Linked DNA regions of Arabidopsis thaliana. The protein of the gene in region 3 interacts with the protein of the main gene of each other region in a pairwise test. Each region holds a gene or a part of one and is shown on either strand. Other genes may lie near its edges. The genes, in order: SAP, NF-YC2, PPD1 and TFL2.

Region 1 (9,894 bases), on a different chromosome or scaffold from region 3:
CTTTCTTCTTATTGATTTTGTTTATGCTTTCTCATTCATAAATGTTGTTTGTTTCATCCATCATGTATGAGTAGTCTACTTGTTAGGGTTAGGGTTTCTCATTAGGGATTTAGATGATTTAGTAGATTGTTCACCTGCTAGGATATATGTAGGATTTTTCATCTTTGGTTATTCTTAATGCTAGTTCTAGAGTAACTAATTAGAACTTAATCTTAAATAATAGGTATGCCCAAAAAGGTATATGTTACCAGAAATACTATTTGATGAGCCAAGTTTATAGATGTGAAATAAGAATCGGCCTATCTATTTAGGTGAACTTATCAAACTCGTTTATCATGCATGTCTTAATATAGGGATTTGCCAAGCGACCGCTGGGAATCTTTAGCCCTAGGCATATTGAGTAGCACGGCGAACCACCGCTTATTCTGTAATTAGGGTTTGAGTTTAAGAACGATTCGATAACATCCTAGCTATTTCTATATCTCTTATCATCTATTTCCTGAGAATACCCTAAACCTAACGTTTTTATTATCTTGTCTTACAACTTCACAATCCACTATCTACTTACTTGCTTTCTTTTTATTTTCTTATCATCTATCTAGCTTGATTTTGATACTTTAGCCTATTGTGTGAACAAAAGAGTTTTGTGGAATTTTACCCTTAAGTACTAACGACGATCTCTTATTTGAGGGAGTAAACTTAGAGCAATTTGACCTACATCAAATTCCATTGTTGTACGTGTACGGTTTCCACCCCATCTAAGCAACGATATTTCATCCTTATTGACTACGTTCCTATATCGCTCTCCAAAGCATTTGACTGAATCATATGCCCAAGCCTGTAACATGAAAACCATACCACTGATGGTGTACGACTTTCCAATAGGCCTCAACATCTTTATAGCATTAACCAACGAGACACCAAATCTCCTTCAAAAGTATTATTAACTGTCTACTTAATAGAAAATGTACAGTCTTACGAGACCACACGAATTGACTATTCGATAACTTAGTAATTATTCCAATAGGTGCCTCCTTCATTTGATCCCACACATCTTATCATACTAATTCTCTAAATCCCATAGAAATATGTCATCTTGATATTGTGATTAATGAGTTTATTCTCTAGATTAGACTCTCCTTCTGCGTAAATTCTTAGAGGGTAATCCTTTGCTTGTTCTTCAGAAATAACCTTAGCCATCTAATAAACCATAAATCAGCCATAACCATACATTAACTCAGCCACAACATAAAACAAATTTAGCCACAGATGCATTGATAAATCATAACTCAGTCAAACATACAATAACTCATCCACAACATAAAACAAACCTAGCCACATATGCATTGATAAATCATAAATCAGTCATAAAACATACAGTAACCAAGCCACAACACAAAACAAACTCAACCACATATGCATTAATAAATCATAAATCAGTCCTAAAGCATACAATAACTCAGCCATCAAATCGAATAGAAATAACAAATCAGCCACCATATGTAAATCGACGGCAAAAATCAGCCGTAATAAGCGTCGATAAAAACCATCAATATCATAACAGTGGTTTTAGAAAATGGTTTTAATCATGGGAATCACTTGCTATTGAACTTAGATGTCTGATTATTGTCGGAAAAATCGAAATAAAGATTTGACACATATCGAAACAAGTTGAGTTGAGACGAAATGTGACTCGATGACAACGACGTTAAAAGTTTCGGGCGGAAGAGACGAGAGAAAGAGAGAATAGCCACGAGAAATAGGTTTTCTTCGTTTTCGGATAAACACCTAGTAAAAGAGAAGACATTTTTTTTTCCCAAGATGAACAATGTCTGGGAGGAAAACCAAAATGTTCCTCTTAGTGACGTTAATAATGTGGCTTTATTTTTTTTTCTCTCTTAATAACGTGATTCATCATTATTTCGTTAATTATTTTTAATTAAAAAAGAATAAAAATGTTTTAACTAAAAAATACTAATCAAAAATGTTAATTGTAATTATATAAAAGCACTATATATATGAATAATTTTCAGAAAATGTAAATATTTCTATATTTAGATTGAGGAATAAACTTAAAAGCATCGCATGCTCATGTGTTGGTTTGTGATGAGTTTGGACTAAAGTTCACGATGAACCGTGGTTTTGAGGATCGTGATAGCTGCAATATGAGAAAAAGTAGGGTTAAGTTTTGTGATGACAGAATATGGCGAATTCTAGGTTTGAGGATTGTAATGATAAGAATATGCTTAACCAGATTTCCAAAAATTATTTACTTATAATGACAATAGTATGTTGGGAAAAAAAAATATGTTAAACTATGCTTTAAAAGTTTTTACTACTGGTATGAAAGTCGAGATTTGGTGCTACGAGTTTGATCTCTCTGACAAATTTTTTGCGTATACATATTATTTTATTTCTCATTTTTAAAATGGATCGATCTACAAATATTTGTGTTTAGCCAATAGTTTACCATATACAAAAAATTTACTAATGTTCGCGGAAGGAAATAAACTTAGCAAATATATTGTTGAATTCTTAATGATATATAACACTATTTTAAATATAAAAAATCGTCAAAATATAAATCTAGTGATTTATAATAATATAGCTGTTATATTGCCATTATAATTCAAAATCTGCATATCAAAAGAAAGAAATTTTGAAATATGTCACCATACTGAACCAATACTTTTCCTAAAAAATATAAAATTGAAGCTATTTCACAAACAAATCTGCATCTATTAAGAATAAACAAAAACAAATAATAACAAATCTTGACAAAAGAAAATAAAAATAGGAAAAAAACATACCTTCACAACCTGGGTCCCCCACCTCGGAGAAGTATGTCTTTATCTACACTTTTTGTCCTTTGTTTCCTCTCTCCCCCACCATTCTTTCTCCTCTCTCCGCTTCTTCTTCTTCCCCTGTTCCTCTTATAACCCCTCTCGTCTCATGTCTACCTCCTCCTCTTCTTCCGACAACGGAGCCGGTGGAAGCGGCGGCGTTTTCGAGGCCCCATCTCCATCCCGCCCTCGCCGCGGAGCCAACGATGTTTGGCCGGAGCCTTTTCTTGAATCTCTCGCCGTTCAAGTTGCCGTTAACGCTTCCACATCCGCCGGCCTCCTCGCCGCAGCTCCGGCTCTTGCCAACGTTTTTCGGGTCAGTTCTAACGTTCTTTGAATACCTTCTTTTAGTTTTGTAACGGTCGAGACACATCAATTATCTCGTGTCTCTCTATATATATATGTACTTCAGGTAGTAAAGTAATATTTTCGTTACACTATCTGAATTCGTTTATTAGCTTATATTTGAACTTGAAAATAGTGAGACATAGATCTTATGCAGACAAAACAAAGTCAAAGTAGTCGTGGGTCTATAATAACTTAAGTGGAGGGACACAATCTTGGTCTAGTCAAATGTACTGCTTGTTTCAAGTGTCTTGTACTTTAGTTGTTTCTAAGCTTAGATTTGATTCTGCCGTTCTAATTCTTTTTGGTATAACGAATTCTTACTCTTTAGATCATAATTAAGTGATGATGTTACTTCAATTCGATTGAATGTGATATTAGTTTGTAAGGTTGGGATTCTGAAGAGACAAAAAAAAAAAAAAACTGACCTTTGGAAAGGTAACCGCCCTTTCTGTGTTTCTATGATGGGTCCAAGTCCAACTTTTATGTCTAACAAGACGACATTAATTTGATGTCTCTTTCACATATCATATAGTTTGGGGACTTTGTTTTTCTTTTATGTATTTAGAAACTTTTTGTCTTCCATTTTTACCCAATAAGTTTATTTCTTTTTCATTGTTCTCTCGTCTACTTTTGATACCTTTTAATGTCTATTTTTGGATCCTCTAAGGAGACCATACAACCCCATCTCGTTTGTGTAATCTTTGTACAACATTTGGGCATAGTAACTCTAATATTAATATTATATTATGAATTGGATCCCTTAGGGCACAAAATCAAGGTTTTATTTTATTTTATTGGCTTTAAATCTTCCTTTCTTGGCATGTAGAAAGCCCTTTTTTAAGATCAAGAAATCCACTTTTTGACTCAAAAGTTCTTACAATAATAATCAAATTAAACACTTTCTTGTCTCCAAATATTGGTTGATAGACATTAGGCACAGTCTTTAGTCCAATGCCCAATAGATTTAATATTTTTTAGAATTATAATTATAACGGTATTTATCTGCTAATTGTTTTAAAATTATAATAATAGAAAGTGACCTCTCACGACAGACTCATAAAACTAGAAAATGTCGTTGCACATTTAACAACATCTAAAAAGAGAATGAAAAGAAACCTAAGTAAGGTCCTGTCTTTTTGCCTTGCCAATGTTAGTCCTATATTACCACATTAGGTTATTTTCTACATACATGAAAACTCTATTCATCAACAGATATATGATCCATGTATTATATCAGGCATTCATATTATTCTTTTTAATAATCCTATGTTATATATGAAAATAGCTGTTTTTTCTTTTGTTCATAAAAAAACAAATAATACATATATATATTATGCTGAAGATTTTTCTCATATATAGTAACGAGGAATAGTATATAAGTACATATGTACATTTTTTGCGTCCTGCTTTTGTTATTTTTTTCTCTGCCAATATTATGATCCACTGAGTAATGCATGCAGAGCTTCTGACAACTTCTCATTCTCTTATTTTATCTCACTTCTCTATGTATACATGATAATTCTAAATCATTATTAAATCCCATAATATTTTCTAATTAATTGAATTTTCAAATTTGCCCTAAAATTTTAAGAAACTGCAGTGTAGTTACAGCATAACACTTTTGTCAGAGAATTAAGGCTATAAGTCTAGAGTTTTCATTGTTGTTTTTTACTTTGAAATTGATCATGGAATTATCTTTTTTCCTGACTCGATTCATCTTTTCCATTGAAGTGGGTTTTTATCTTTTTTTTTTCTTTCCTTAATTTTTTTCAGTCAAAAGAGACGACATTATGGGCATACATATGCCGAAAAGCACATGGAACCCAATGTTAAGGGTCTCTTAGAGCACGTGCAGTGGTGTCTATAGATTATATACTATGTTCTTACATTTGATATATCACACATTAAAATACAAAAGTGATATTCTGAATCTGGTCATCTTAGAACTCAGGAATATTTGAACTACTTTCTTTCCCTTCTTATTTGAAGTATATCATATTGATGTGATTGGTAATTTGCATAATAATAAATAGGATTTGCCATTCCATCATATGTTATTTGTTGTACTAATCTATTTTATGTTACATTTCGTGCCCTAGTGCCTAGATTATTCTTTTTTTATAATGATTATCTGACTAATAGACATTAAACCTTTGGTTTGACAAGATATCTTTTCTTTTCGTATAGAATTCGAAATATTTGATTTTAGGTTGTACTATAGAGCTAGAGTACGAAGTCAAATACATTACTTTGCGTTTAATGAGGAATAAAGATGTACAATAAATAACAATATAAACGTAAATGTAGAGAATGTAGGTCCACGGATTGTTGGAGAGGGATGAGAGAGACAGAGAAACATCTACTATATATAAGTGTAATATTTGTGTATTTATGGGAAGCTCTACTTTTAACAAGACCAAAGGCTTAAAAGCTATCCTTTCTTGGAAATGAAAGAGAGAAGGGCACGCTTGTTGGCAAAGTCGGAATCTCATGTTCAGCTTAACTCATTTAAAGTCTTCTCATCTGTCCTAATAAATTAACATATCATCTGTTTTGTATTATTGTCACATTGATTTGTTTTTTGTTCTTTTGACATGGGACTAGGGCTTCCTCTCATTATTCCTTTTACACTAGGGCTTCTGTTGTTATATCTCTATCTATAGCTTCCAGAGATTGATTAGTCCCGTCAATTGAACATATGTCATAAAATAGATTTTTATAAAAATGAGTTGTGTGTTTCGATGAGTAAGACAAATATTACGCAGAGCTTGTGTCTGAGTCTGTCGTTGTCTTTCCATCTTCCTAGTCCCTATATATAGAGTCTTTCATGCTTCGTTGCAGGCCTACTTATCTTCTTTCTATGTCTTTTTTTACTCTCTCCCTTATTTATACATTTATTAATTAAGCTACTAATTATAATATTTGTTAAAACTTATAATAATTTTTCTTAATCGCAGGTTTGCACCACGTGGCACGCTGTCTCTCGCTCCGACCATCTATGGCAACTACTATCTCGCCAAGTTTGGGCAAGAACACATTTGATGCACGACACGTGGCGGGACGAGTTCATCTACCGTCATCGGACGGCTAGAAACTTCCGGACGCGTACTCACACCTACTTCACTCTCCAATTTGACCCGTCTGATGTGGACGAGCCTGATAGTCTCTCTTGCCGTTGTCTCACCCTCTCAGACCTCTACTTAGCCGCAGGGTTCGCCGACGGAACCGTCCGGCTTTTTCTTTTAAACAACCGACTCCACGTCAGGACCTTACGGCCACCTCTACGTGACCGCTTTGGTAGATTCTCACGAGCCGTCTCAGGCATTGTTATCTCCGACTCAAGGCTCACGTTCGCTACGATGGACGGAGACATCCACGTGGCGGAAATAGACGGTGTTGGTCACACACGCACGGCTTACGCAGGAGATATAGTTAACGACGGTGCGTTGGTAGATTTCACTGGCTGTGGACGTTGGTGGGTCGGTCTTTTCGCGGGTGTGCCAGGTCGTGCCTTTCACATATGGGACTGTAACAGCGAAGAGACAACATTCGTCGGTGGTACACTCACCGACCCTGAAGCTGTCATGGGATGGCACACGTTAACAGAGCTAACAACGTCCCTTGGCCGTCTCAGAATCTCCGGTAACGAGACGGCGGTAGCATGCACGAGATGGAGAATCATGGTGATCGATCTAAGAAACCAAGGAGTGATCATCGGAGAAGACGAAGAGCAACGTAGAGGACTAATAGTGACAGGCTTCGATGCCAACGACGAAGCGTACGTTAGATTGGACAGTAGAGGAAACGCTAGCGTGCGAAGGGTGAACACGCAACAAACGGTGTGTGAGTTCCGTGTTAGTGGAGCGGCGCAGAGAAGAGTAATGGGTTGTGTTAATAGACTGCACGCGCTAATGTGCGCAGGTGGTATAATGCGCGTGTGGGAGGTAGAGAGAGGAGAGTATCTGTACAGTATTAGGGAGAGAGTAGGAGAAGTTGACGCCATTGTTGCCGATGATAGACATGTGGCGGTTGCGTCAGCTTCATCAACGGCTCAGAGTATTATACATCTATGGGATTTCGGTGCACTGTAGCGTACCAGATTAATAATTTTTTTTTTTTAACTTGAAGAAAAAGAAACTATTTTTCTCTGAAAAAGCGAAACCCTAAACCTAGGTGTATATGTAGGGTTTCTGATTATAAATTAAATTGGGAAAGTGACGGAGGGAAGATGGTGACAGGAGGGTGAGATTTACAAGGGAGATTGATTCTTTCTACAGAGTTTGACCAAAAAAGTAAGTTACTGTTTTTGTCTAAAACCAAACAAAGTGGACTTTTTCTTGTTGTTCTTGTTTTTTTCCTTGTGTTTAGGGCTCTCTCAATTCTGACTTTGTACGAGATGTCTTTTTTTTTTCTTCTACTTGTAATTCTTCACTTTACTGGAGTTTATTATTTTGTATAATGGGTTTTAAATACATTTTGTGTAAAAAATATATTTTACAGGAGGTGTAGACAGAAACAAGATCAAAATCGAAAGAATGGTATAGAAATATGAATCATGAGATCTAGATGTGATTTGAGCATATCCCAATTTTAGGATATATTGGAGTGAATTGATAAGTAAAATGTTCAACAAGTTATTCATAAACAATAACATAAGAAAAGAGCATAATTGGACACACCCAATATACAAACAAAACGGCTAATCTCATTGAACAAACAAGATGATAAAGAGTGAAAATCAAAATTTTCCAAGTTTGAAATAGCGTTAGAAGCAAGTTCGAGAAGACCAAACACACGCCAATTCAAGAAAAAGTTGCACTCTACATAAAATTTGAGATGGTAACCATATATTGTGACTTTAAATCATAGTTCAAAACTTGGATTCTCACAAGAATGAGTCACGTTGTACCTACCGGTCCCTAAAAAACCATCACATAAGAACACAAACAGTTAGGATCTAAAACATGTTATTTAGAAACGAATTCGTAAGGACAGTTCTCAAAGAGAGGGAAATATCAATTTGATATTTATGTATATGAAATTACAAGATGTTTGATATAATGCCACGTTTATTTTGTCTTTTAAACAGATTCATGTGTTTGAATTTTCACATCTATTATCTTAATTAAGTCCACAAGGCTTTGTATTGGAATTTGCAGGGACAAATCAACTTATGCAAATAATATGACTCTTGAGAGACCATTGATGCATGTTTCATTATTAGCGAATGTGCCAGTCTTTTAAGTTTCAGGTATGCGGATTTGATTGTATGATTTCTAGTGTTTTTCATGTTTTTTTTTTGTTATATATAATGTCTAATGGGCTATTTCTAGATAGAGCATATACAAAATCGCAAAAACCCAATCCACAAACTTCAATACAATAAACAAAGCAGCTCAAAACTAAAGCCATCTCAAATTTACAAACCGAATTTAACTAACCAAGATTGAAAACCCTAATCTCAATCAAAAAACATGATCGAGCCGCCGTCCAAAACTGCAGATTCTCGCTGAAATAGGACAGCCAAACGAGATGGTGATCCAAAATTTGTTGCCATGCCGCCACTGTAGAGTTGTTTTGAGAAGGAGGAAGAGAGCCGATCTCGTTTTTGTTGAAGAGATCCTTGCTCAGTCATGAAAGAGAGAAAATAGTAGGGAATAGAAAACAGAGACCTTCGACGTTGGCTTCGCTTTGCCGGATCAAATATACCTCCCCCATCGACAAAGATCTCGTGGAACCGCCACAATTTTCGGTCTCAGATCTATCTACTTGTCTCTCTCGTTCTTCGCCGTAGATCTCCCTTTTCTACTCTGCATCGCTACACCGCATGTGGAGCTCTTACCGTTGGTATCAGGCGGAAGCTTCTCCCCTCCACATCTCCTTGATTTTAGTCGGATTGCTTTGCCTGAAAAATGCAGCATGTTACAGATGACGAACTATGAGCTTTTGGGTCCTCATCTTATTTTTTTTTTTTCTCAAACAATAATTTTCATTCACTTAAGCCTAAAAAAAGGGAAGTTCATACAAATTAGAACTAAGATAGTACAAGAAAATGAAGATAGAGGCTTCATGAGTTTTGCAAAGAGGTGTTCACTTTTAAAAAAGTTTACAAGGTTTGAAAAATCTGTTGAGGCTTTGGCGGATTCGACCATGAAGACGGGCTTCGCGAAATCCTCGACCAACGTGTGGTCATAAACGGCTATTGCAAACAATGCATATGAGCCTTTGAAAAGGTGCTCCACGGGAGAAAATAAAGGGTAGATCATAACGCCGCTCTTTGCCAAGCTTTCACAGATTTGCAACTTATCCGTATACTTGAAGATACCTTGAAGGAGCTTGGTAATTGGCGGGTAAGGAGGTAGAGAGTTGAAGAAGCTTCGGTAACCACCGCTCCGTGGAGATGGGATCATAATGGCGTTCTTCTTCACTCTTTTGGACATTGCCAAAGGTTTGGGATGATAGTCTCAAATAGGGTTCGAAACAAAATTAACAAATGACCTCGACAAAAGTATCTATCAAAACAGCCTAAAAGAACTGTTACTCTGTTAGCGTGGAGTCCACGACCAGCCAAAACAAAGTTAAAGGGTGCTATAGGGGTTGTAATTGACAGAAACATAACAATACGGATCATGGGCATCAAGACTCTAAAACACTTCAAAAGTGGAGTTAGCCCAAAGCTTTTTGAGATCAGATTTGTAACATA
Region 2 (6,421 bases), on a different chromosome or scaffold from region 3:
ACATTAGATACAAAGTGATTAAGAAGTAAATAAAAGGAGTAAATAAGAGTAAACTTAGATGATGATGATGATGATGTGGGTTGAGTTTTATAAGAAATACGAAGACGAGTAAATAAGTTAATAGGCTAAAGAAAAGGATTATTGAATTCTCCTTCTGAACTAAATGTCAAATAATAAGTGTCAGGATTAATAAAAAATAAACTGATCTGAATTAATTAGGATTACAGTCTACAGATTTATTCTATTTATTTCTCCAATTGGTGTTACTTTTGTTTGTGGCATGGCCCTTGTGGTCTTTAACACACACGCACACAAACAACCGCTCTAAAGTTTACAATATACTAGATTTCTACTCGCTCATATCAAAATCTAAAGTCGAAAATCTTTTTGTATAAAATATTTAAAACTGAATAATCAAGAAATGTATCAAACTATTTAAATATTTCCGTGATGCTCAAATTAATATACATATTTTTCGTAACTCGTCAATGAATCATGCATAACTTGTTTACACAATTATACTTAATGGACACTATGATCTGTACACGGGCATATGAGTAACAAAAGAAATTTAAGAGATTACTAGTTAAAATCTGCCGTTAACTTCCGTACGTTCCATGCTTTTGGGTCTCTCTCTACGAGTGAAGTGCCTCAAATAAATAAGAGTTTTATTGAATGGAGTGGAAAATCTAATCTCTAACTAATAATTATAAAACATCTTCTGACGTAAAGAGCCGGGTTATATCAATGATATATATATAGGAGCTCCTGATAATAATCAAAAACATAACATTGCATATATAGAGAAAGATATAGTGAAGGTAGCTATAGAGAAGAAAGTAGTGTAATAAGAATGGGGAAAGGAAGAGCACCATGCTGCGACAAGAACAAAGTGAAGAGAGGGCCATGGAGCCCTCAAGAAGATCTCACTCTCATCACTTTTATTCAAAAACATGGCCATCAAAACTGGAGATCTCTTCCCAAGCTTGCTGGTTAGTATTTATTCACATGCATGTTTCGGTAATACTATAAAGTTTTAAATAACTAAGAGAAATAATGATTGATATATATACATAGGATTGTTGAGATGTGGGAAAAGTTGCCGACTAAGATGGATAAACTATCTGAGACCGGACGTGAAGCGAGGCAACTTTAGCAAAAAGGAGGAAGATGCTATCATTCACTACCATCAAACCCTTGGAAACAAGTTTGTACTCTACCTATTCATCTAATTTCTTTATAATAAGACAATATATAGTATGTAGAGACTAATTGATATATGTGATCATCAGGTGGTCAAAGATCGCGTCCTTCTTGCCGGGAAGAACTGACAACGAGATCAAAAACGTGTGGAACACGCATCTCAAGAAACGACTCACTCCATCTTCTTCTTCTTCATCCCTCTCTAGCACTCATGACCAAAGCACAAAAGCAGATCATGACAAGAACTGTGACGGGGCTCAAGAAGAAATACATTCAGGGTTAAATGAGAGCCAAAACTCAGCTACTTCGTCACATCACCAAGGCGAGTGTATGCACACAAAACCAGAGCTTCATGAGGTTAATGGACTCAACGAGATCCAGTTCCTGCTCGACCATGATGACTTTGATGATATAACCTCTGAGTTTCTTCAGGATAACGATATCTTATTTCCGCTAGACTCTCTTCTTCATAACCACCAAACTCACATTTCAACCCAAGAAATGACTCGAGAGGTAACCAAATCGCAATCATTTGATCATCCTCAACCGGATATCCCATGCGGATTTGAAGACACAAACGAAGAATCCGACTTGAGGAGACAGCTGGTTGAATCAACCACACCTAACAATGAGTACGACGAGTGGTTCAACTTCATTGACAACCAAACTTACTTTGATGATTTTAATTTCGTCGGAGAAGTATGTCTATGAATGTCAATAATATATGCATGACCAGTGTTGTATCCACTTTTGAATGTTGAGTAAATTACTATTTTACATGGATTGCCCATGCATTGAGAAGATGCTATGTTTTATGAGAGCTCTATGATATTGGTTCGTTTTTCGGCTAGATTCACACAAACAACTCTTCTCTTTTCCTTCTCGATCACTCTTATGGCTGCTCTCAGAGTCTCCGTTTTCAGAGGCCAAAACAGGTCGCAGGTTGATGGCTGGCAATGGCAGCATCGACTGCTTCCGGTGTGTCGAGATCAGGCGCCACACCAAGCATCAAGTCCTGAAATCGAATTAGGTGTGTGTAAGTTTCTTAGCCTAGATACAAACAACAAGAAATATGACTCCAACTGTACTCATCATTTCAATCACTTGATATTTGCTTCCTGTAAGGGCTTCAATGTCAAAAGCTTCTGAATTATCCTAAGTCCATACATATTTGAGAGACTGAGACGGTCTCAGTGAGACCAAACAGAAGAAGAAAAGAAAAGAAAAAAACAGAACAAATACTACAAAGAATACACAAACTTTTGATTCTTGCTCCAACCGTTTATTAAAGCACATGACCTGTTTGGGATCATCACATATCACACTAGAATCACAAAAACTACAAATTTCACAGCTCCGAGCACGCAATGATTAACAGAAATCCGACAACTACACCAATCTCTTACAGATTAAAACACAAAGAAGAGAGCTTGTGTAAGTTAAACACGTATGGTAAATACATTAGCAGTAAGAAGATACCTTGGCTTCTGAAAAGTGGAGCAATTGTGGACTTCACATAGAGGGATGGAGGAGACTGTTCTGCTCCTTACAGAACAAAACTAGCGACGACTCTGCACATAATTATCGGCATAATTAAACAAAGTCTGGCTCTTTCGAACCCCAAAGAAGAGTGGCGATAGCAAAGATGGATCCTTTGCCTCTGCAACTTCTTTCGATGGTTTCCTTTCCTCTGCTTCCCGTTTCCCTTTACTCTGTTGACAATTAGGGTCAAGTTTTGATCCGGCCCGGGTGATTTACAGCCCACAAGGTCCAATGGGCTTCTTCGAAAATAAGTTTGCGCGACGTTGCAAATGTCACGTGACTTTTGTTCACGCGCACTTCACGTGTTCTTCGTTATTCTTCGAAACCGTCCGATAAAGAAATTTCTGGAATAACACAACATAACCAATGAAAAGCATACAGGTGGAAGTAACGTAAAAACTCCCGCTTTTTCGACACGTGTCAACTAGGCGGAAGATACGCACCACCAGAAACGCTTGATAAAAAGCTAACCCGCCCCAAACCCATTTATCTTAGGGTTTCGCGAGATCTCACTCTCACTGGTATGTCTGTGTTTCTTCTTCCATTTTCTGTTTCTATTGGAAACTTCTCTCTCCAATTTCGTTTTCTTCACTTCTTTGATCCTTTAGCTTTGACAAAACCGTAGTAAAGGATCAAAAGTTATCATCTTTGGTCCATGTTGTGAATCGTGCTCTGCTTGGGTCGTGACTCCCAAATCCGGATTTGAAACCAGCATATCTGAGCTTAATTCGAGCATGCATGCGCTTCTTTTTTTCTGATTTTTTTTAGACTTTGGTTCTAAATCCCTTAACTTTGGATTAACTGTCAATCTACAATTTTATATTAACAGAGATAGCTTAGCAATGGAGCAGTCAGAAGAGGGTCAACAGCAACAGCAACAGGGAGTGATGGATTATGTACCTCCTCATGCTTATCAGAGTGGGCCAGTAAATGCAGCTTCCCATATGGCATTCCAACAAGCTCACCACTTCCACCACCACCATCAGCAGCAACAACAGCAGCAGCTTCAGATGTTCTGGGCTAACCAAATGCAAGAGATCGAGCATACCACTGATTTCAAGAACCACACCCTTCCCCTAGCCCGCATCAAGAAGATCATGAAAGCTGATGAAGATGTGAGGATGATCTCTGCGGAGGCTCCTGTGATTTTTGCCAAGGCCTGTGAGATGTTCATTTTGGAGCTCACTCTACGTGCTTGGATCCACACCGAGGAGAACAAGAGGAGGACCTTGCAGAAGAACGACATCGCCGCTGCCATTTCCAGGACCGACGTGTTTGATTTCCTTGTGGACATAATCCCGAGGGACGAGCTGAAAGAAGAAGGTTTAGGCGTGACCAAAGGGACCATACCATCGGTGGTGGGTTCCCCGCCATACTATTACTTGCAACAACAGGGGATGATGCAACACTGGCCCCAGGAGCAACACCCTGATGAGTCTTAAAACTTTTCCCCTTTCGTTTGTTTGGTTGTATCGTAGTAAGGTAGCTCTGCTCTGCTGGGAACCATTTCTATTGTGTTCTGTAATGACATGTTAGTATATCCCCAGTCTATATCTATGGCAATGCAGTTTCTGTTCTCATGTGCATTAAATAATAACAAGAATGATAGAAAGAAAATCACTACTAGTAATGCCCAAAACTTTACTTCACAGGAATTCAACTATACAGCTTTCATGTGATTGCTACTTTACAACCATTTTCTTTATGCTATTAAAAGCTTGGCTCCTATTCCTTTAAAGTTTAAACCTTGTCATCCTCCACATCTCCCTTAGTGGATAAAACCTTAACTTACTTGAACATGGATCCAAAGATACAAGTCCCTTCTCGCCATTCCAGTTGCAGTCAGGTGGTTTATATACCGAGATACCGAGAGCTTATCTGCTTCGGTCTCCATGCATTCCAAATGAGTTTTTTTTTTATGGGCTGTCCGTATTAGTAATAAATTACAGAAAATGCTGGTGCTTCAATCATTTGCTTGAAGACATGGCTTCCTCAATCCTTCTAATCACAATGCTAAGAGGACTTCCCACTTGGAGAGCTTCAACAGCGGCCCTATGTGCTGCCTTGTGCCACTTGAGTAGATTGTAAGATTGTAGAACAGACCACCTGGCTTGATTCGACATCTGTATGATCAAACGCACAGATTCGCAATGCTTAACAATCTGTACACTTGTGCAAGAAAAGTGGAAGCACATATTATACTAGTCAAATCAGATATATATGAATTTCATTAGTCCTGACCTGAGCTACGGATAACGGTGGTTCCAGAAGGACTGAGATGCTCCTGAACAGATTTTCATCATTCTCTCCACCCTCAGCCTCACCATAAACTAGCGCTTCAGCTGCAATACCAGCAAATAGTACCATGCTATACCTAAGAGAAACTGAACCAGCATTAGGTTTGTGAATGAGAGAAAACTCAGAGGGAGAGAACAACACCTTGACTAATAATCACCTATCAAATGAGCTACCGCTAAGTCGTCCCTCAGCAATCTCACTCTCCATCTTTTGATCCCAGAATTGGGTTCCAGCCTAGAGAAACACATGATAATCCATTTATGTACTCGGTTCCATATGTAGCTAAAAGAACATAGAATCACAGCACTACAAAATAGAATAGTATAACACTAGAGTGAATCTAAATAATACCTGGCCTTGAACCCCCATTTGCATGGCAACAACCGGATCCAATATCACACCACGGATTGGGCAGCCCATGAGGTATGCTGCACGACAAATAAGCTGCAATCGTTAGCCACAAAACGAGAAAGAAATTTCATAAAAATACTAATGATCACGAATGTCTTACCAACAAGAAGATGACCAGCTTCGTGAACTACGATTCTACGCTTATGTGGAGGCCAGTAGCATGATACTTGGGCTAAGCAGGTACCACCAAGAAAAACGGAATCCAAATAAGCTAGACCCAAAATGACAGCAAGGTTTGGCCGCACATCAATCTCCTGTGAAAGAAGATAGGAGACTCCACCCAGCAAAGCAGCCAGAGCAATGCTAGAACCACCAGAAAGTCCCCACTTCTTCGGTGAAAGTTTAGTCACTAACCAATATAAACAGTAAAATAAGTTTCCATCGCCACACACTGAGTAATCAAAGATGACTGAAGAGAGAAATTTGAGCTACACACCTTCCAAGCCAGTTGCAGACTTCAGGACAGTAGGTGTTACCTCTCTTGTTCCTTCCAAAACTGCATCACAGTGATACAGAAGCAAGAAACTTATGAAACGATACAAATTAATCAGTTCAAATGCTCGCACACATAGCTAAACATTACTTTTGTACATCTATCTAAACAGAAGTTGATTTTGAAGGCGCAAAGAAGAGAAAACAGAGTACCAATACTGGTGAATTTGCCGAAGTTGGCCAAAAGACCTCTCTCCTTAAGAAACCTAAACGCACTTCCAACAAGTCTCATATCATCTGCATTCAAACACGCATCTAAAACTTGCCAATCCCTCTCCAATTCAAGAGCTCCCAAGCCGCTTAACTTAGCCGTGACAATAGATTCAACCGAATCACGCTGTTCATCATTTTCAATAGATTTGAGGAATCTAAGAGCCCCGGCGAGATCTTTTCTCTTCACAGCATCTTCGTACTCCCGCCATTCCCTGAGTGCGCTCGGCCTCCGCAACTCATGCTTCCGGACGCTACCAAAGAC
Region 3 (7,970 bases):
GTCAAACACGGCCTTTCATTTTGTCCAATTTTGAAAGGAGGCATTGTTAAATTACCAAAGAAGCATGTCTAAATGCTGTAATTGCTGCTACCTCTACTAGCTTATGTGTCTACAGATGCCTCGTGCCCCTTTTTTTGAAATTGTGATTTGATTTTTTCAGAGAAGATGGTGGAGCTTCCCCAATATGGACTTGAAAAGGCACCTGCTTCTCGTGATTCTGGTACAAACAGTACTCATTTTACCTTAAAGATATGAAATCCTATTATTCAATGATGCTTTAAAACACCTGAGAGCGAAATTTGGTCCACCTCTTCACCTCTACATGCTACGCTAAACTACTTGCTTGTTCTGCATGATATACGACCATGAAATTCTGTTAATTTAACTATTGTTCTTTTTGTTGGTCTTTTCTGAAGATGTTGAGGGTCAGGCGAACAGAAAAGTATCGTTGCAAAGATATCTTGAAAAGCGGAAAGACAGGTAGTTGTTGCTATTATGCTGTGTGCTTGCTTATTCCAAATCGATGAATACTGATACCTTTCTTTCTGAGCAGAAGATTTTCTAAGACCAAGAAGGCTCCAGGAGTTGCGTCCTCTAGCTTGGAGATGTTTCTGAATCGTCAGCCACGGATGAACGCTGCATATTCACAAAACCTTAGTGGCACAGGGCATTGCGAGTCACCTGAAAATCAAACAAAAAGTCCCAATATCTCAGTTGATCTAAACAGTGATCTAAACAGCGAAGGTATGAACAAGCATTTGTCAAATGGTTCCAATGATCTCCCTTAAAACTCTCATTCGCTTTTTTATAGATAATTAACAAGGTGCCAAAAGAACTGGAGATGGTACTACGGGTCAAAAGGCGGGAAGAACAATTTCATGTTCTTATAACATGTTAGCCATGTACAAAAAGAAAGAAAGCAAACAATGAATGTTCTCGTTCATTGTGGAAGAAACATGGGTTAAAGATTTGAGCTGGATCAGTGCGGGTCTTGTATGGTTTTGTTTTTTTTACGGGTTGCGTCCATCTTTTTTGGTCTGTAGTTTTGAGTAGGTTAGAGAGACGCGAGAGAGAGAGAGAGGATGTGGCGGTTTGTATTATGTAAATGCTTGTCTTATAATGAGAGAGACCTTATTGATGATACCAATCTTTGAGGTCCAAGTAACACAACTTCTTTGTGATTGATATGTATGAGATAATTAATTTGTCTATTTTCATGGCATGATGTATGTGATATGTCTGAGATTTGCAACATTCTTCTATAAAGTTGAGAAATAAGGGTAGTTTAGTCTTTTTAACCAAAGATTTTTATTTATTTGATCTTTTCCCTGTTTTAAAAAGAAGAATCGAGTAATCGGGTGGTTTTGAAGACGAAGAAGGACTAAGACATCACGAGGAACACGATGGGTGAAGCGGTCAAGGTATGTTTTTATCTTTGTCTCCTCTGCTTCTGATCTGTTAATGCCAATCGATAATTCCTAGTTTTGCGATGCAAGCATGAATCGTCGATTGTTATCTGAGTGATTTGATTCATTTTCGACGATTTTCGAATCATCATAACTACTTCTTTTGCTCAAATCTCGCAGTCAGTTTAATGCCTATTCGTATTCAATTTAGTTATGCAATTGACGATTTCTCGAATTGTCTGAAGTTTTGAAGCTAAAATCAGATTAAATATAAAATATCTGAACATTGCCTCCCAAGGAATCTAATCCCATCTTGATGTGCTTTTGCTTAGGATGGGAGAGAAGAAGTGATTCAAGCTTGGTATATGGATGATAGTGAAGAGGATCAGAGACTTCCTCACCACAAGGATCCTAAAGAGTTTGTATCGTTGGACAAACTTGCAGGTCCCCCTCTTTGTGTGTTTCAATTCAATGTTGTTCTCTCTGCTTCTCTATTTTGTTTCACATGTAATGTTTGTGTGCAGAGCTGGGAGTACTTAGCTGGAGACTTGATGCTGATAACTATGAAACCGATGAGGATTTGAAAAAGATCCGTGAATCTCGTGGTTACTCTTACATGGTTTGTGGTCTTTATTTATTTACTATCCCACTAGACTTGAATGGTAGATGTTTATTTTTGTCCAAGTCTTATTTTAACTCTCTAGGGGTTTTCTCAATCTTGGTTTGATGATTAAAAAGTGTTCAAAATGCAGGACTTTTGTGAGGTATGCCCGGAAAAGCTTCCAAACTATGAAGTGAAAGTGAAGAGCTTTTTCGAAGAACATTTACACACTGATGAGGAGATCCGTTACTGCGTTGCAGGAACTGGTAAGAACTTCTTTTACTGGCGGCTTTACTCGTAAACTTAAAATTTCGATATAGTAGTCATGTTTTATTTTCTTGGGAAAAAGGTTACTTTGATGTGAGAGATCGTAATGAAGCTTGGATTAGGGTATTGGTAAAGAAGGGAGGTATGATAGTCTTACCTGCTGGGATCTATCATCGCTTCACTGTGGACTCTGACAACTATATCAAGGTGCAATGTCAGCTTTTCTTCTAGCCATTTATTTTATAGTTTGGGCTTGCTTAGAAAATTGAAATATCTTGTTGAACAGGCAATGCGGCTATTCGTGGGTGAACCGGTATGGACACCATACAATCGCCCACACGACCATCTTCCTGCAAGGTACAATGTCCTGGGTTTTCCCCTTTTGTTTGTTCTCTTATGCAAACAATGGGATATATAATCAAGCAAGAAATTCTGTTATTTTACGAGAAATAAATTCTGATATTTTACAGGAAAGAATATGTCGATAACTTCATGATCAATGCCTCGGCTTAGAGAGCTTCCTCTCTCTATATCTGGCTTTCTGAAACAAGGATCTATAAACAAGGCCTACAATAAAGAAAGCTTTCCTGTCAAGTATTGGATATTTATATGTATTCCTGTGTAGAATGATGGCTTTTGGTATGCTTGAGTTGTTGTAAACTTAGTTACACTCTCTGATATGTCTCTCTTTACCATCTTTGTCGTATCCCATATACGAAAAGATTACATTGGGATTCATATTGTCTTACGTTCGTTCCTATGTGCAATATGTTGAGTTTTTACACAAATCTCTATTCTTTTTTATTTGCTTTTCAAAAACCAACAAATTAGAAGAAACTAATAAGAAGTAATACGTCCAACCGCGTCAACTTCTTTGGTTTAATCTAAACCATGGTTCGTTTGGTTGTTGTTGTGTATCTTAACATGCTGACGGTTTTAAGGATGGTTCGTTTGGTGGTTGTTGTTATCGAACATGTTCACGGTTCTAAGGAAGAAAAGTGTGGTTTTGTGTATTTGTGGTTGGACATAAGATTTTCGTTTTCGTTTACATTTGTGGCTTTCTTTTGTAATTTCCTTTTAGAGTTTGGAATCTCCTTAAATCCGACCTACATTAACTCTATAGTCTATAGAATTGGAGTAATCATTTTATTCTCCTATCTTAATGGATTACAATAAACAGTAGTTGAATGGAAGAAAAAGGGGATATAAAAGTAAACTTAGCAAGTTTAGCAGCCATGATTAGGCTTATAATAATTTATGTAGACGTGGAGCTTACGTGGCAGTCTAGGGAGTTTCCCTGCTCCGGGAACAATTCCCCCAAATTGACTCCCCCATAGGAAAAACTATTCGACCTCACTCTCTCTCGCCACTGTTCCGCTCTCTCTCATTCTTCCTAATTTTACCCCCAAAACCTCCGATTATTACTGAAACGCCACTGCTCTCTCGCCGGGATTCCGGTGAAGAGGAGGAGATGGATGTCGGAGTTTCACCGGCGAAGTCTATACTTGCGAAACCTCTGAAGCTACTCACTGAAGAGGACATTTCTCAGCTCACTCGCGAAGACTGCCGCAAATTCCTCAAAGACAAAGGTTTCTTCTTCTTCTACCTTTCTCCATAGTCTTGTTTCCTTCTCCGATTTGCAGCGGAAGTCAAATTTTGAAATTCTCTACTCTGTCGGAGCTTTTTTTTGCTTGTTTATTCTGAGAATGGAGGCTGACACATGTCGAAATAGGAATGCGAAGACCGTCGTGGAACAAATCTCAGGCGATCCAGCAAGTTTTATCTCTTAAAGCTCTCTATGAGCCTGGAGACGATTCCGGCGCCGGTATCTTCCGCAAGATCCTCGTTTCTCAGCCAGTAAATCCGCCTCGCGTGAGATATTTACTTCGATTTTGCTTCTATTTCTCGTTTAAACTCACAGATTGAAAAAAGTGAAAATCTAAGTTGCCTTGTTTGTTCTGATATCTACAGGTCACAACAACGTTGATTGAGCCAAGCAACGAGCTGGAAGCTTGTGGCCGGGTTTCTTATCCGGAAGATAACGGCGCGTGCCATAGAATGGATTCTCCAAGATCAGCTGAGTTTTCCGGTGGGTCTGGTCACTTTGTATCCGAGAAAGATGGCCACAAGACGACTATTTCTCCCAGGTTTACATTTTCGTATTTGAATTTTTTTTGATACCTTTCTGCTTCTATGCATCTGGAACTGGAATGTTGTTTAATTCAAGAAAAGTGTAATGCATTGCATTATTAAGTTTGTGATATTAGGAAGTTTTTGGTTCAATATCACATCCTTAGAGACAGAATCTATATATGGTTCAAGGCATTGATGGTGGATTTGTCAGATAGTATTTAGGTTGGCCACGATCGTGTGATCGAAGATCATCTTCGTTATGTCTTAGTATCCTGGATCTCTTTAGAAATGGAAAATAATAGTCAATATGACTGATGTGACTTGAAATAATAATTAGTTACTTGAATTCCTTAATGATATTTTGTAAGTTAGAGGGTTTTTTCCCTAGTCCATCTACGAAAGCTTAAGAAAAGGTTTTGCTGCATGTGCCTGTTGTTCTACAAGCATATTAAACATTCTTGTCTGTAATCTTGCATCAGAAGCCCAGCTGAAACAAGTGAGCTCGTTGGGCAAATGACGATATTCTATAGTGGAAAAGTGAATGTGTATGATGGAATACCACCTGAAAAGGTAAATCAATAACATTATTCTGTCCAGTCTGAAAATAGAAATTTTGTTGGCATGTTTTTGATCATTCATCCTTTGTATTGGTTTGCAGGCCCGGTCAATCATGCACTTTGCAGCCAATCCAATTGATTTGCCTGAAAACGGTATTTTTGCTTCCAGTAGAATGATTTCAAAGCTCATAAGTAAAGGTAAGCTTTTGCTAAAGTGTCTGATCTGTTTTTCAGTTGATAGATAGATGATTCAAACATGAAATGATTTTGTTTTGTGTATCATCAAACTGGAAAAAGTTCATGGACCAGCTTTTCTGACGCAGTAGAGCTTTTTTATTTATTTTCTCTTCTTGCAAACACTGCTTTTGTTTTGTCCAACTTTGAAAGGAGGCATGGGTAGTTGACCAAGGAAGTATGTCTAAATGTTGCATTGTGCTATACTACCTTGCGTAAAATATCCAAATGCCTCTTGCATGTTTTTGTGATAGTGATTCCACTTTCCTTCTTCAGAGTCTAGTTTGAATTAGTCAAAAATCAAATTGAAAATGTGAAATCTTATTGCAGAGAAGATGATGGAACTTCCCCAAAAAGGCCTTGAGAAGGCGAATTCTTCTCGTGATTCTGGTATGAACAGTATTCATATTACCTTAATGATTCTCGGAGCGAAACTTGATCAACACATCTTCACCTGTGCAAAGCTATGCTAATGTTGTTAACTTGGAGGAAACTTGGCTTGCTTGTTGTTCTGCATGTTATATGACCTGTGAAGTTTATTAATCTAACCGTCGTTCTATGTTTTTTGGGTCGTTCTTAAGGTATGGAGGGCCAGGCGAACAGAAAGGTATCTTTGCAAAGATATCGTGAAAAGCGGAAAGACAGGTGCATTTATATACTTACGCTTATTCCAAAATCGCTATAAACTGATATGTTTTCGTAATGTGCAGAAAATTCTCAAAGGCCAAAAAGTGTCCAGGAGTTGCGTCCTCTAGCTTGGAGATGTTTCTGAATTGTCAGCCACGGATGAAAGCTGCATATTCGCAAAACCTAGGCTGCACCGGATCTCCACTGCATAGCCAGTCACCTGAAAGCCAGACAAAAAGTCCCAATCTTTCAGTTGATCTAAACAGTGAAGGTAAGAAGAGAATCATATATAAAGCTTTGTTAAATCAGTGGTTTGGATGATTTCCCTCATAACTCTCCTCGCTTGGTCTCCAGGCATTTAACAAGATACCGAAACGTGGAGATGCTATAAGCTGTGAATAGGCGTTGAAACAGTTGCTTGCTTGTAAGCTCAAAGATATGAAGAAAAGAAACCTCTCTTCGGATCGGCCTTCTTTTGTGTTTCCGGGGTTTTGCACCCATAATTTTTGGTCTATAGTTTTGAGTAGAGCTTAGTAGGTTAGTGGTAATTTCTTGTTTCTGATTCTTTTTGTGAGGATATAGTCACAGAGAGTAGAGACAAGAGAGGTGAAAGAAGGGCTTTCATTTTCTAGGTGTTGTAATGTGTAAATGATGTCTTACTTGACACTTTTAACGAGAGAGACCTTTTAGCCAAAGTGTTTCTTACTCTCGACTCGAGTCTTACTTTGACACCACCAAACTTCTCTTCTTTTGTCCATTTTTAACCCAGTTTTTAACTTTTAACTTTGTTAACTTTTTTACAATAATTACCACTCTAACTAACGTATTTACATTTTCTCAAACCTCAAAAATGTGATAAATAGTCTGAAACGGATATATGTGGAGGCGGCATTTCCCTCGCCGCACGCCGGCGGATGGAGGGTAGTTTAGTCTTTTAACCTTTTTCTCTGTTTTTGTCCCAAAAGATAAAACGAAAATGACTTCTTTTGAAAAGGAGAGAAGGCATATATCGCGTGGATTTGAAGACGAAGAGGAATCATAAAAAGCCTAACGAAGAAGACGAAGAAGAAGAGGAACAAACAACCATGGGTGAAGTGGTTAAGGTAATCGTAAATCTCTTGCTTCTGATTCTGATTTCGTGAAAGCTCATCGGAAAATTTCTTGTTTCAGCTATGAAAACATGAATCGCCGCCGATTGTTAATTAAGTGGTCTTCAATCACTGATCACTATTCCAATTTTGATTTTTGTTTTATTTTAATCATCAAATTTGATGTTTTCTAGTTTCACTTGTTGTGTATGAAATTCAGGCTTTGTCTTGGAGGTTGCAATCGAAAATTTCACTAATTGCTGAACGTTTTTTGTTTCTCTTTCAAGCTTAGCATCATAAATTTATGTTTTCTTGTTGTGTTTGTGTATGTGTGTTTTTGCTTAGGATGGAAGAGAAGAAGTGATCCAGGCATGGTATATGGATGATAGCGAAGAGGATCAGAGACTTCCTCACCACAAGGATCCTAAGGAGTTTCTATCTTTGGACAAACTTGCAGGTCTCTTTGTGTGTTTCAATTCAGTGTTCTTCTCTCTGTTTCTCTATTTGTTTCAGATGTAATGTTTGTGTGCAGAGCTGGGAGTACTTAGCTGGAGACTTGATGCTGATAACTATGAAACCGATGAGGATTTGAAAAAGATCCGCGAATCTCGTGGTTACTCTTACATGGTTTGTTTATATAGACTTGAATGCTAGATGTTTACTTTTGAACAAGTCTTGTTTTAACTCTCTAGGGTTTTACTCAATTGTAACACTTACTCTACTGAATGTATTTAGGAAAATTCGTTGATGATTTGCAAATTGTTTTATGTGCTTGAGTCTTGGTTTGATGATGGAAAAGTGTTCAAAATGCAGGACTTTTGTGAGGTATGCCCGGAAAAGCTTCCAAACTATGAAGTGAAAGTGAAGAGCTTTTTCGAAGAACATTTGCACACTGATGAAGAGATCCGTTACTGCGTTGCAGGAAGCGGTAAGTACTTTTATTGGCTGCTTTACTTGATTTAAGTCGGTATCTATATTCTCAACGTTTCATTTTCTTGGGAAAAGGTTACTTTGATGTGAGGGATCGCAATGAAGCTTGGATTAGAGTATGGGTAAA
Region 4 (7,272 bases), on a different chromosome or scaffold from region 3:
GTGTTTGGAGGGTGGTGCCCGCATACTTGGACCGGCTTTAGCACTGCTGCTTTTCTTGATCTTATTCCCATGCTCAAGTTATCCATATCCTCCGGCTTCATGCTTTGGTAACTTGCTTTTATTTGTTAATTTTTTTCGCGGGATTAAAACATGATTATTAAGCGTGGACCACTACTAATAGGCTAATACAAATTTCTAATGACTCTTCTTTTGCTTCTCTTGTTTATTTATTGCCTCAAACAGCTTAGAGTACTGGTATATGAGCATCATTGTCTTGATGTCTGGATATGCAAAGGATGCGAATATCGCAATTTCCGCTTTCTCCATATGGTATTACTTAAATCCGAAGAAGTTTTTTTTTCCATATACATATGAAAACTAAATACTTAATTCAAAATTTGCAGCCAATATATCTACTCATGGGAGATGAACATATGCTTTGGCTTGATGGGTGCAGCATGGTTTGTAACTATATACGTACTCTCATTCACAGTATTTTGTTTTTGATGTATACATATATTATTTGTTTAATACTAAAGTGAATGTTTCTCTATCTATGAATCCGAAAATGTAGTGTACGAGTGGCGAATGAATTGGGAAAAGGCGATGCGGATGCGGTGAGATTCTCGATAAAAGTGGTGCTTGTGGTATCAGCGGTGATCGGTGTGATATGTTCCGCTCTTTGCCTAGCGTTTGGCGGTCAGATTTCGTATTTGTTCTCTGATAGCCAAGCAGTTTCGGATGCAGTAGCTGATCTCTCCATCGTCCTTAGCATATCTATACTCTTCAACATCATCCAGCCCATTCTATCTGGTTACAAAATAAAACCCTTATATTAGACATAAATAAATTATAACATAAACTTTTAGATTTCACTAATTTGTAACCACTAAATTTGTTTGAACATATATAAACAGGGGTAGCAATTGGAGCAGGGATGCAGAGTATGGTAGCATTAGTGAACTTAGCATCTTATTATGCAATTGGTGTTCCTTTAGGTGTCCTCCTTGTTTACGTTTTCAATTTTGGGATTAAGGTACATCATATATATGAAAACTGGTATCCAGTACTTCATTATGATCAATCATTAGAACTTTTAGAATTTTAACTTGAATAAATGATATTGTATGCAGGGACTCTGGTCCGGAATGTTGGCTGGAGTTGGTATCCAAACGTTGATATTGTGTTATGTTATTTACAAAACTGACTGGGAATTGGAGGTAATTTACTTTTAATATATAACTCAAAATTTTTATTAGAAAATTCGTCATATTAAATGTATAATTTTATCTAATTACAGGTTAAGAAGACAAACGAGCGTATGAAAACGTGGACTCTAAATTTACCTGCTGTACAATCGACTACTATCTCCACAAGAGATGAAGAGAGAAAGTGAACATACAACTAAGTTAATTTAAAGAAATCTTTTAAGAAATTCTTTATAAAAAAAGAAAGAATAATTTATGTTGTATTGTGGTTGTGTTTTGCATTCCCTAAGAATGAAGTATCGGTGTTGAGATTGCATTATTAGGTTAATGCAACTCTCATAACTTTGAAAAAGGTTAAGAAGGATGAACTTTTTCTTTTATCAGAGAAAAAGGTTGTTCTCTTGTTCTTCGGATATACTCTTTCTAAACAAAAAAAAAATTGTGGGAGGTTTGAAATTTTAACTTCTTTCTTGATTTTTTAATGGATGTATATTTTGTGTGTGGGGAAAAAAATTCCATTTGTTTGAGTGCTTGTAATCGTGAATTTTTACAAAAAAAATATTCTCATATATATTTCGAGGAAACGTTACAAACTTTCATAAGCTCACCATCAAATAAAATACTCATTTATTTATGTTGAAGTCAAAACGTTCCATTTTTCCCCCTATTTATGAACCGATCCTAATGAATGTTTTTTTTCTTCCTTTTTACTTCTTTCATATCACCATTTTAAATAATAATAGTAATTATTATTTTTCTAACGTTTAAACAAAAAAAGAACTGCAAATTTTATAGTAACAATTCAAATTTAACAAAGCGATCAAAACATGCATCATTTAGTGTACAAGTACTAATCACAAAGAAACAAGTTTTGGTTGGACAAAGTATAGAACAAACACACTAAACTGAAGAAAATAGAACTTTAGCCCACCAAAAGTTGAGGCTAAAACTCGAGCAGTAATCACATAGTTACTATCAAGATAACTATACTTTGGAATGAAAGAATCTGAATCTCGATGAAGTTTATCTTGGAGAAGGACTTTCTTTTCTGTTGGTTTGGATGAGATATTGCTGAAAATTATTGATGATGATGTTAGGAGATCCAACTAAGTTGTCTGCCTTTGCAGTGCACTTGGAGACTTGGAGTGAGAATCTTAGTTTATGAGACTTATTTTCTGATTTTTCAATCTCCTTTGATTTTTTTTTAAGTTGTAATAATGTCCTAGTTGATTTCCTTGTAAAAGGAGCAAGAGCACGATGTTCTTTTATTTCTAATTTAAAGAAAATGTTTTCAGTTTAATATATTTTTCGATTTAATTTACCTTCACATATTTTCTTCAGTAGTATTTATTATTTTCATATTAGTAATTAGAAATAATCTCTTCTAATTAGATTATAAACGTTAAGAATTTGCTGTATTCAACTTTTCCTATTGTGATATTAAAAAAAAAAAAAAAAAAGAGAATCCAAAAAAGTGAAAAAACTGGTCTTTGAGGTCAGGTCAGGTCTTCTTCCTGCAAAAACAAAAACCTCAGAAATAGAGAAAAAGTTTCAATCTTTCTTCATCTTCTTCCTCCAAAATCCTTGATTTCTAAAAAGGAGAAGAAGAGAAGAGAACGCGATTACCTTGATTCACCCTCCTCCTTCAGGTTTGGGAGGCTCGAATACTCAGGAAATGAAAGGGGCAAGTGGTGCTGTTAAGAAGAAACCCCAGGTGTTGAACGAAGCTGGTGAGGCGGAGACGGCGGTGGAAACAGTCGGAGAAAGCCGGAAAATTAGTGGAGACGGTGGGTTTGGCAGTGACGACGGCGGAGGGGGAGGTGGAGGTGGAAGTGGAGAGTCGATTCTTCGCGAGATTGGTGATGATAGGCCTACGGAGGATGGAGATGAAGAAGAAGAAGAGGACGAGGATGAAGATGATGGAGGTGATGAGGAAGATGAAGAAGGAGAAGGAGAAGGTGGGCAAGAGGAAAGGCCAAAGCTTGATGAAGGGTTTTATGAAATTGAAGCTATTCGTCGTAAGAGAGTTCGAAAAGTAAGCTCCTTTTTTCGTCTTCACTCAGCAAATGTGGTTTGTTTTTGTTAACCATAATTAGTTGAGGTTTTAGGTTTTCTAGGTTTAAGATAAGTATCAAACGTAGGTTACACATTGGTGTGAGAAAGTGGCTGCTTTAGTAGTTAGTAATCATCGTAACAGAGTAGTTTATAACGAACCAAAGTTTTGATTCTGTGGTTGTTATATGTTGTAGGAAGAAAATGATCTTTAATGTTTGATATCTTCTTGGATTTGATTGATTGAATGATTCTGATTCTGCATTTTGGTACTGTTTTTTTTTTTGTATTTGTAGGGCAAGGTTCAGTATCTAATTAAATGGTGAGTTTTTCTAATCTTACTTGGTTTCATTTTTAAGTTTGTTGTTCTTGATTAAACATATGTTTTTCCATTGACATAAGTTATAAACTCGGTTGTGAAAGGCGCGGATGGCCTGAAACTGCCAACACATGGGAGCCTTTAGAGAATCTCCAGTCTATTGCTGATGTTATAGATGCCTTTGAGGGAAGGTAAGTAAATGGAATCTTATATAAAAGTTTTGTGATACTTTTGAATTGATTGTTTCATGGATTTTCTTGGTTTAATGTATGGATTTGCTTTCTTGTTTCATATGTTTCAAAGTTTGAAGCCAGGAAAGCCTGGTAGGAAACGGAAGCGCAAATATGCAGGTCCTCATTCTCAGATGAAGAAGAAGCAACGTTTAACATCTACATCACATGATGCTACTGAGAAATCTGACTCTTCTACGTCTCTCAACAACTCTAGCCTTCCTGACATTCCTGATCCACTAGACCTAAGCGGTTCGAGTCTATTAAATAGAGATGTGGAAGCGAAGAATGCTTATGTATCCAACCAAGTTGAAGCCAACAGTGGGAGTGTTGGGATGGCCCGACAAGTTCGTTTGATTGACAATGAGAAAGAATATGATCCAACACTTAACGAGCTACGAGGACCAGTCAACAATAGTAACGGTGCAGGATGTTCTCAAGGAGGAGGCATTGGTTCTGAAGGTGATAATGTAAGACCCAATGGCCTTCTCAAGGTTTATCCTAAGGAGCTTGATAAGAACAGTCGTTTCATAGGTGCTAAGCGGAGGAAGTCTGGTTCTGTGAAAAGATTCAAACAAGATGGATCCACAAGTAACAACCACACAGCACCTACAGATCAGAATCTGACACCAGATTTGACTACATTAGACTCTTTTGGTAGGATTGCAAGGATGGGGAATGAATATCCTGGTGTGATGGAAAATTGTAATTTGTCTCAGAAAACCAAGATTGAGGAGTTGGACATCACGAAGATACTTAAACCAATGAGTTTTACAGCATCTGTATCAGACAATGTCCAGGAAGTGTTGGTGACCTTTTTAGCGCTGAGGTTTGTCTCTTTAGCTCTTTGGTCATTTCTCGTAATTTGATTTCATATTTGTACAATTGTACTTATTTGGTTACTCTCATAGGTCTGATGGGAAGGAAGCATTGGTGGACAACAGATTTCTCAAGGCTCACAATCCTCATCTCGTAAGATTATCTTTATAGCTTTTTTTTTCTGCACTTACTCATTTGGAAGTTTCTTATTAGCTTTTCTAATTTGTTTTTCCCACACCAGCTGATTGAATTCTATGAGCAACATCTCAAGTACAATCGAACGCCTTAAATCATCCGGAATGGTAAGAATTTGTTTGTACACAGCCCTTGTAGGTAGAAAAGATTAGATGGCTTCTTTATTCTAGCAGTGCAACATGTAGAGTCGAGGTAGCGACAATTGGATTTTGTATCGCGTCTCCGGGAGGTTTCAGATTGTAATTTATCTCCTCGGGTTCGTTGTGTTCACTCTCTATCTCTATCATAGTAAATCTTGTTACTTGGACCTTTGCTTCTTATAGCGGAAGTTTTCTTGTACTTGCTTCTTCAAAGATCAAGTTCATGATATGTTGATGTTATCAAAATATATGTGATCAATCAATATATAATAATTATGTTTACAAGCAAACCAAGTAATTTTTTTTACTTTCGTATGACATTTCGCTGATGTAATTTGGAATGACGCTCTCGAGCCAAAGGAACTGGAAGAAACTTGATCCTCTTGGGATTTAGTTGTTCCTTATGCAAGAACTCAGTTTCATATGCTCTTCTTTTCAAAATTCTTGCGTCATCAAATGCCTTTGGAAGATCCAAATCAGAACTCTGAATTTTGTCAGAGTCATTAGAGAACTCTTGCATCATGTCTTTGAGTGATATAAGGTGTACCGCACATTTTTTAACCTCTCCAAGCGGGCTAAAGGAATCTCCTTCTGTGTTTTCGACTGAGAATTCAAACAGGGCTTCGCTGTAAGCTTCCATGGACGTGCAGGTTCTGCTGAATAAGAGAAGGTGATCTGATCCAAAATACATGTTTGTGAAAGCTTTTGGATCAGGATACCACACCTCATCCATAACAACCAGCTCACAAGCATCAGCATCTTTTAATATACAAGAGCAGTGTATCTTCAGATTGTTCATCGGGTACTGTCCATCAACTCCAATCATGATGCAGGCAGAAAATCCCAGAATGTCAGACGATGATTCACTCTGAGGTAACTGTATATTCAGCGAAGGACCCATGACTTGGTGATTGAAGCAAGTGGGTATGTCACTTCCAGGAAAATAAGAGTGTTCTGGTTTTGCTGACTCTAGCTTCAAGTTACGGTGAATGAGAATCTGCGCTGCTTGATCCAATTTGTAACAGTTGCTAGCTACAAGCTTTCGCAGACAATATTGGTTGAAGCAACCTGAGATACTCACTAGTGATGTGCAGCTATGGATGTAGATATACAAGAGACCTCGTGGAAGCTCATCGGGCAATGCTTGAAGTCTCTGGCAATTGTTTAAATTCAGTCTGTTCAACCTGGTGAGCCGTTTGATGCTTGCGGGGATGAATTCAAAATTGTTCCCACTCAAATCTAGTTCTAGTAGATTCCATAAGTTACCAATACTGTTAGGAATCTCTGTCATGTTCATGTTGCTTAGGCTCAGAGCTCTCAAGTCATCAAACCTTGATAAGGGAGGACAAAGAGAATGCAACAAACCTTCTGGAGTAAAGAAACTATTCCCAATCGCTAAAACTTGAAGACGGGTAAGTCGTGCAATAGACCATGGTGCTCGCCTTATCACTGTTCTACTGGCTTGAAGCACCTCAAGAGCTACTAAATTCCCAATGTTTTCAGGTAGTTCTTTAATGCTAGTCCTATCTAAATCAAACCACCTCAAGCAGCTCATTGTCTGACAAATTTCTAGTGGAAAACTCTCGAGTACAGAACATCCAGAAAGCTTGAGCTTTTCAAGTGATCTTAGCTCAGAAATGCTTACCGGAAGTGATGCAAGTCTTTTGTTTTCTGAGATATCCAAGGACCTAAGCTGAGAGAGATTACAGATCCTTGCAGGAATTTCTTCAATTGATGTCTCAGATATACGCAGAACTTCTATACTCGTGGAAACACGAGGGAACTCGTTGACATTAAGGCAACCAGACACTTCAAGCGTTTCAAGAGATGTTAGATTCTGTAACGTGTCTGGGAGGTTCTCAAGACGTCTGCAACCGTCCAAATTCAGGGATTTCAGTGAGACCAAGTGCCCTAGATAGCTTGGAAGAGTCCTGAGTCTCTGACAATCTGACATATCCAATTTAACCAGACAAGAGAGACGGCTGATTGATGATGGAAGTTCCTCTATCTTTGTACTGCTCAGATAGAGTCTTCTAGTATTCCAAGAAATTTCTGGAAAATGCTTTAGGCTTGAGCATCCACTCATTCCCACTGTTTCAAGCGACTTCAAAATTATTCCAATCGGAATGTCCTTGAGTTGGATGCAATTAGTCAAGTAGAAGCAAGAAAGTCCCTTTAGGTTCTTGATAGATGGAGTAACCTCAACCAAGCTTTGGCAATAGGAAAGGTTTAGTTCCTCCAGATTTGTGGCTTTTGAGAGGTCTGGAACTTCGACAAGGTATTTACAGCGAGAAAGATCCATCTTCTTC

The links.
Region 1: the proteins of PPD1 (region 3) and SAP come close enough for resonance energy transfer, tested with the Arabidopsis thaliana proteins (one study listed by BioGRID).
Region 2: the proteins of PPD1 (region 3) and NF-YC2 interact in binary tests that used the Arabidopsis thaliana proteins (3 or more experiments, as listed by UniProt).
Region 4: the proteins of PPD1 (region 3) and TFL2 interact in binary tests that used the Arabidopsis thaliana proteins (3 or more experiments, as listed by UniProt).

The regions. Positions count from the first base shown.
Region 1 is NC_003076.8:13,933,845-13,943,738, reverse strand, and holds SAP (Transducin/WD40 repeat-like superfamily protein), read left to right. Parts: upstream 1-2,871; 5' UTR 2,872-2,952; coding exon 2,953-3,159; intron 3,160-6,148; coding exon 6,149-7,282; 3' UTR 7,283-7,653; downstream 7,654-9,894. Other genes in the region: AT5G35760 (Beta-galactosidase related protein), read right to left, coding at 8,957-9,096, 9,238-9,631. UniProt on the Arabidopsis thaliana protein: Transcriptional regulator involved in the specification of floral identity. Acts as A class cadastral protein by repressing the C class floral homeotic gene AGAMOUS in the external flower organs in association with APETALA2 and other repressors.
Region 2 is NC_003070.9:21,021,531-21,027,951, forward strand, and holds NF-YC2 (nuclear factor Y, subunit C2), read left to right. Parts: upstream 1-2,951; 5' UTR 2,952-3,266; exon of another isoform or gene 3,267-3,574; 5' UTR 3,575-3,587; coding exon 3,588-4,187; 3' UTR 4,188-4,372; downstream 4,373-6,421. Other genes in the region: MYB72 (myb domain protein 72), read left to right, coding at 854-992, 1,078-1,207, 1,293-1,914; AT1G56180 (ATP-dependent zinc metalloprotease), read right to left, coding at 4,713-4,868, 4,987-5,119, 5,201-5,277, 5,395-5,471, 5,555-5,803, 5,891-5,950, 6,100-6,421. UniProt on the Arabidopsis thaliana protein: Stimulates the transcription of various genes by recognizing and binding to a CCAAT motif in promoters.
Region 3 is NC_003075.7:8,425,301-8,433,270, reverse strand, and holds PPD1 (TIFY domain/Divergent CCT motif family protein), read left to right. Parts: upstream 1-3,550; 5' UTR 3,551-3,745; coding exon 3,746-3,863; intron 3,864-4,006; coding exon 4,007-4,146; intron 4,147-4,245; coding exon 4,246-4,421; intron 4,422-4,886; coding exon 4,887-4,977; intron 4,978-5,065; coding exon 5,066-5,162; coding exon of another isoform or gene 5,163-5,209; exon of another isoform or gene 5,210-5,528; coding exon 5,529-5,588; coding exon of another isoform or gene 5,589-5,671; exon of another isoform or gene 5,672-5,779; coding exon 5,780-5,843; coding exon of another isoform or gene 5,844-5,883; exon of another isoform or gene 5,884-5,908; coding exon 5,909-6,096; intron 6,097-6,179; coding exon 6,180-6,187; 3' UTR 6,188-6,594; downstream 6,595-7,970. Other genes in the region: AT4G14720 (TIFY domain/Divergent CCT motif family protein), read left to right, coding at 161-220, 417-480, 554-788; ARD1 (acireductone dioxygenase 1), read left to right, coding at 1,404-1,421, 1,739-1,850, 1,931-2,025, 2,159-2,273, 2,357-2,481, 2,561-2,631, 2,745-2,787; ATARD2 (RmlC-like cupins superfamily protein), read left to right, coding at 7,097-7,120, 7,259-7,370, 7,446-7,540, 7,727-7,841, 7,919-7,970. UniProt on the Arabidopsis thaliana protein: Regulates the arrest of dispersed meristematic cells during lamina development.
Region 4 is NC_003076.8:5,825,149-5,832,420, reverse strand, and holds TFL2 (uncharacterized protein), read left to right. Parts: upstream 1-2,660; 5' UTR 2,661-2,883; coding exon 2,884-3,243; intron 3,244-3,556; coding exon 3,557-3,582; intron 3,583-3,662; coding exon 3,663-3,770; intron 3,771-3,882; coding exon 3,883-4,638; intron 4,639-4,720; coding exon 4,721-4,781; coding exon of another isoform or gene 4,782-4,799; exon of another isoform or gene 4,800-4,869; coding exon 4,870-4,917; 3' UTR 4,918-5,250; downstream 5,251-7,272. Other genes in the region: AT5G17700 (MATE efflux family protein), read left to right, coding at 1-107, 244-330, 405-461, 575-813, 918-1,036, 1,134-1,220, 1,301-1,396; AT5G17680 (disease resistance protein (TIR-NBS-LRR class)), read right to left, coding at 5,268-7,272.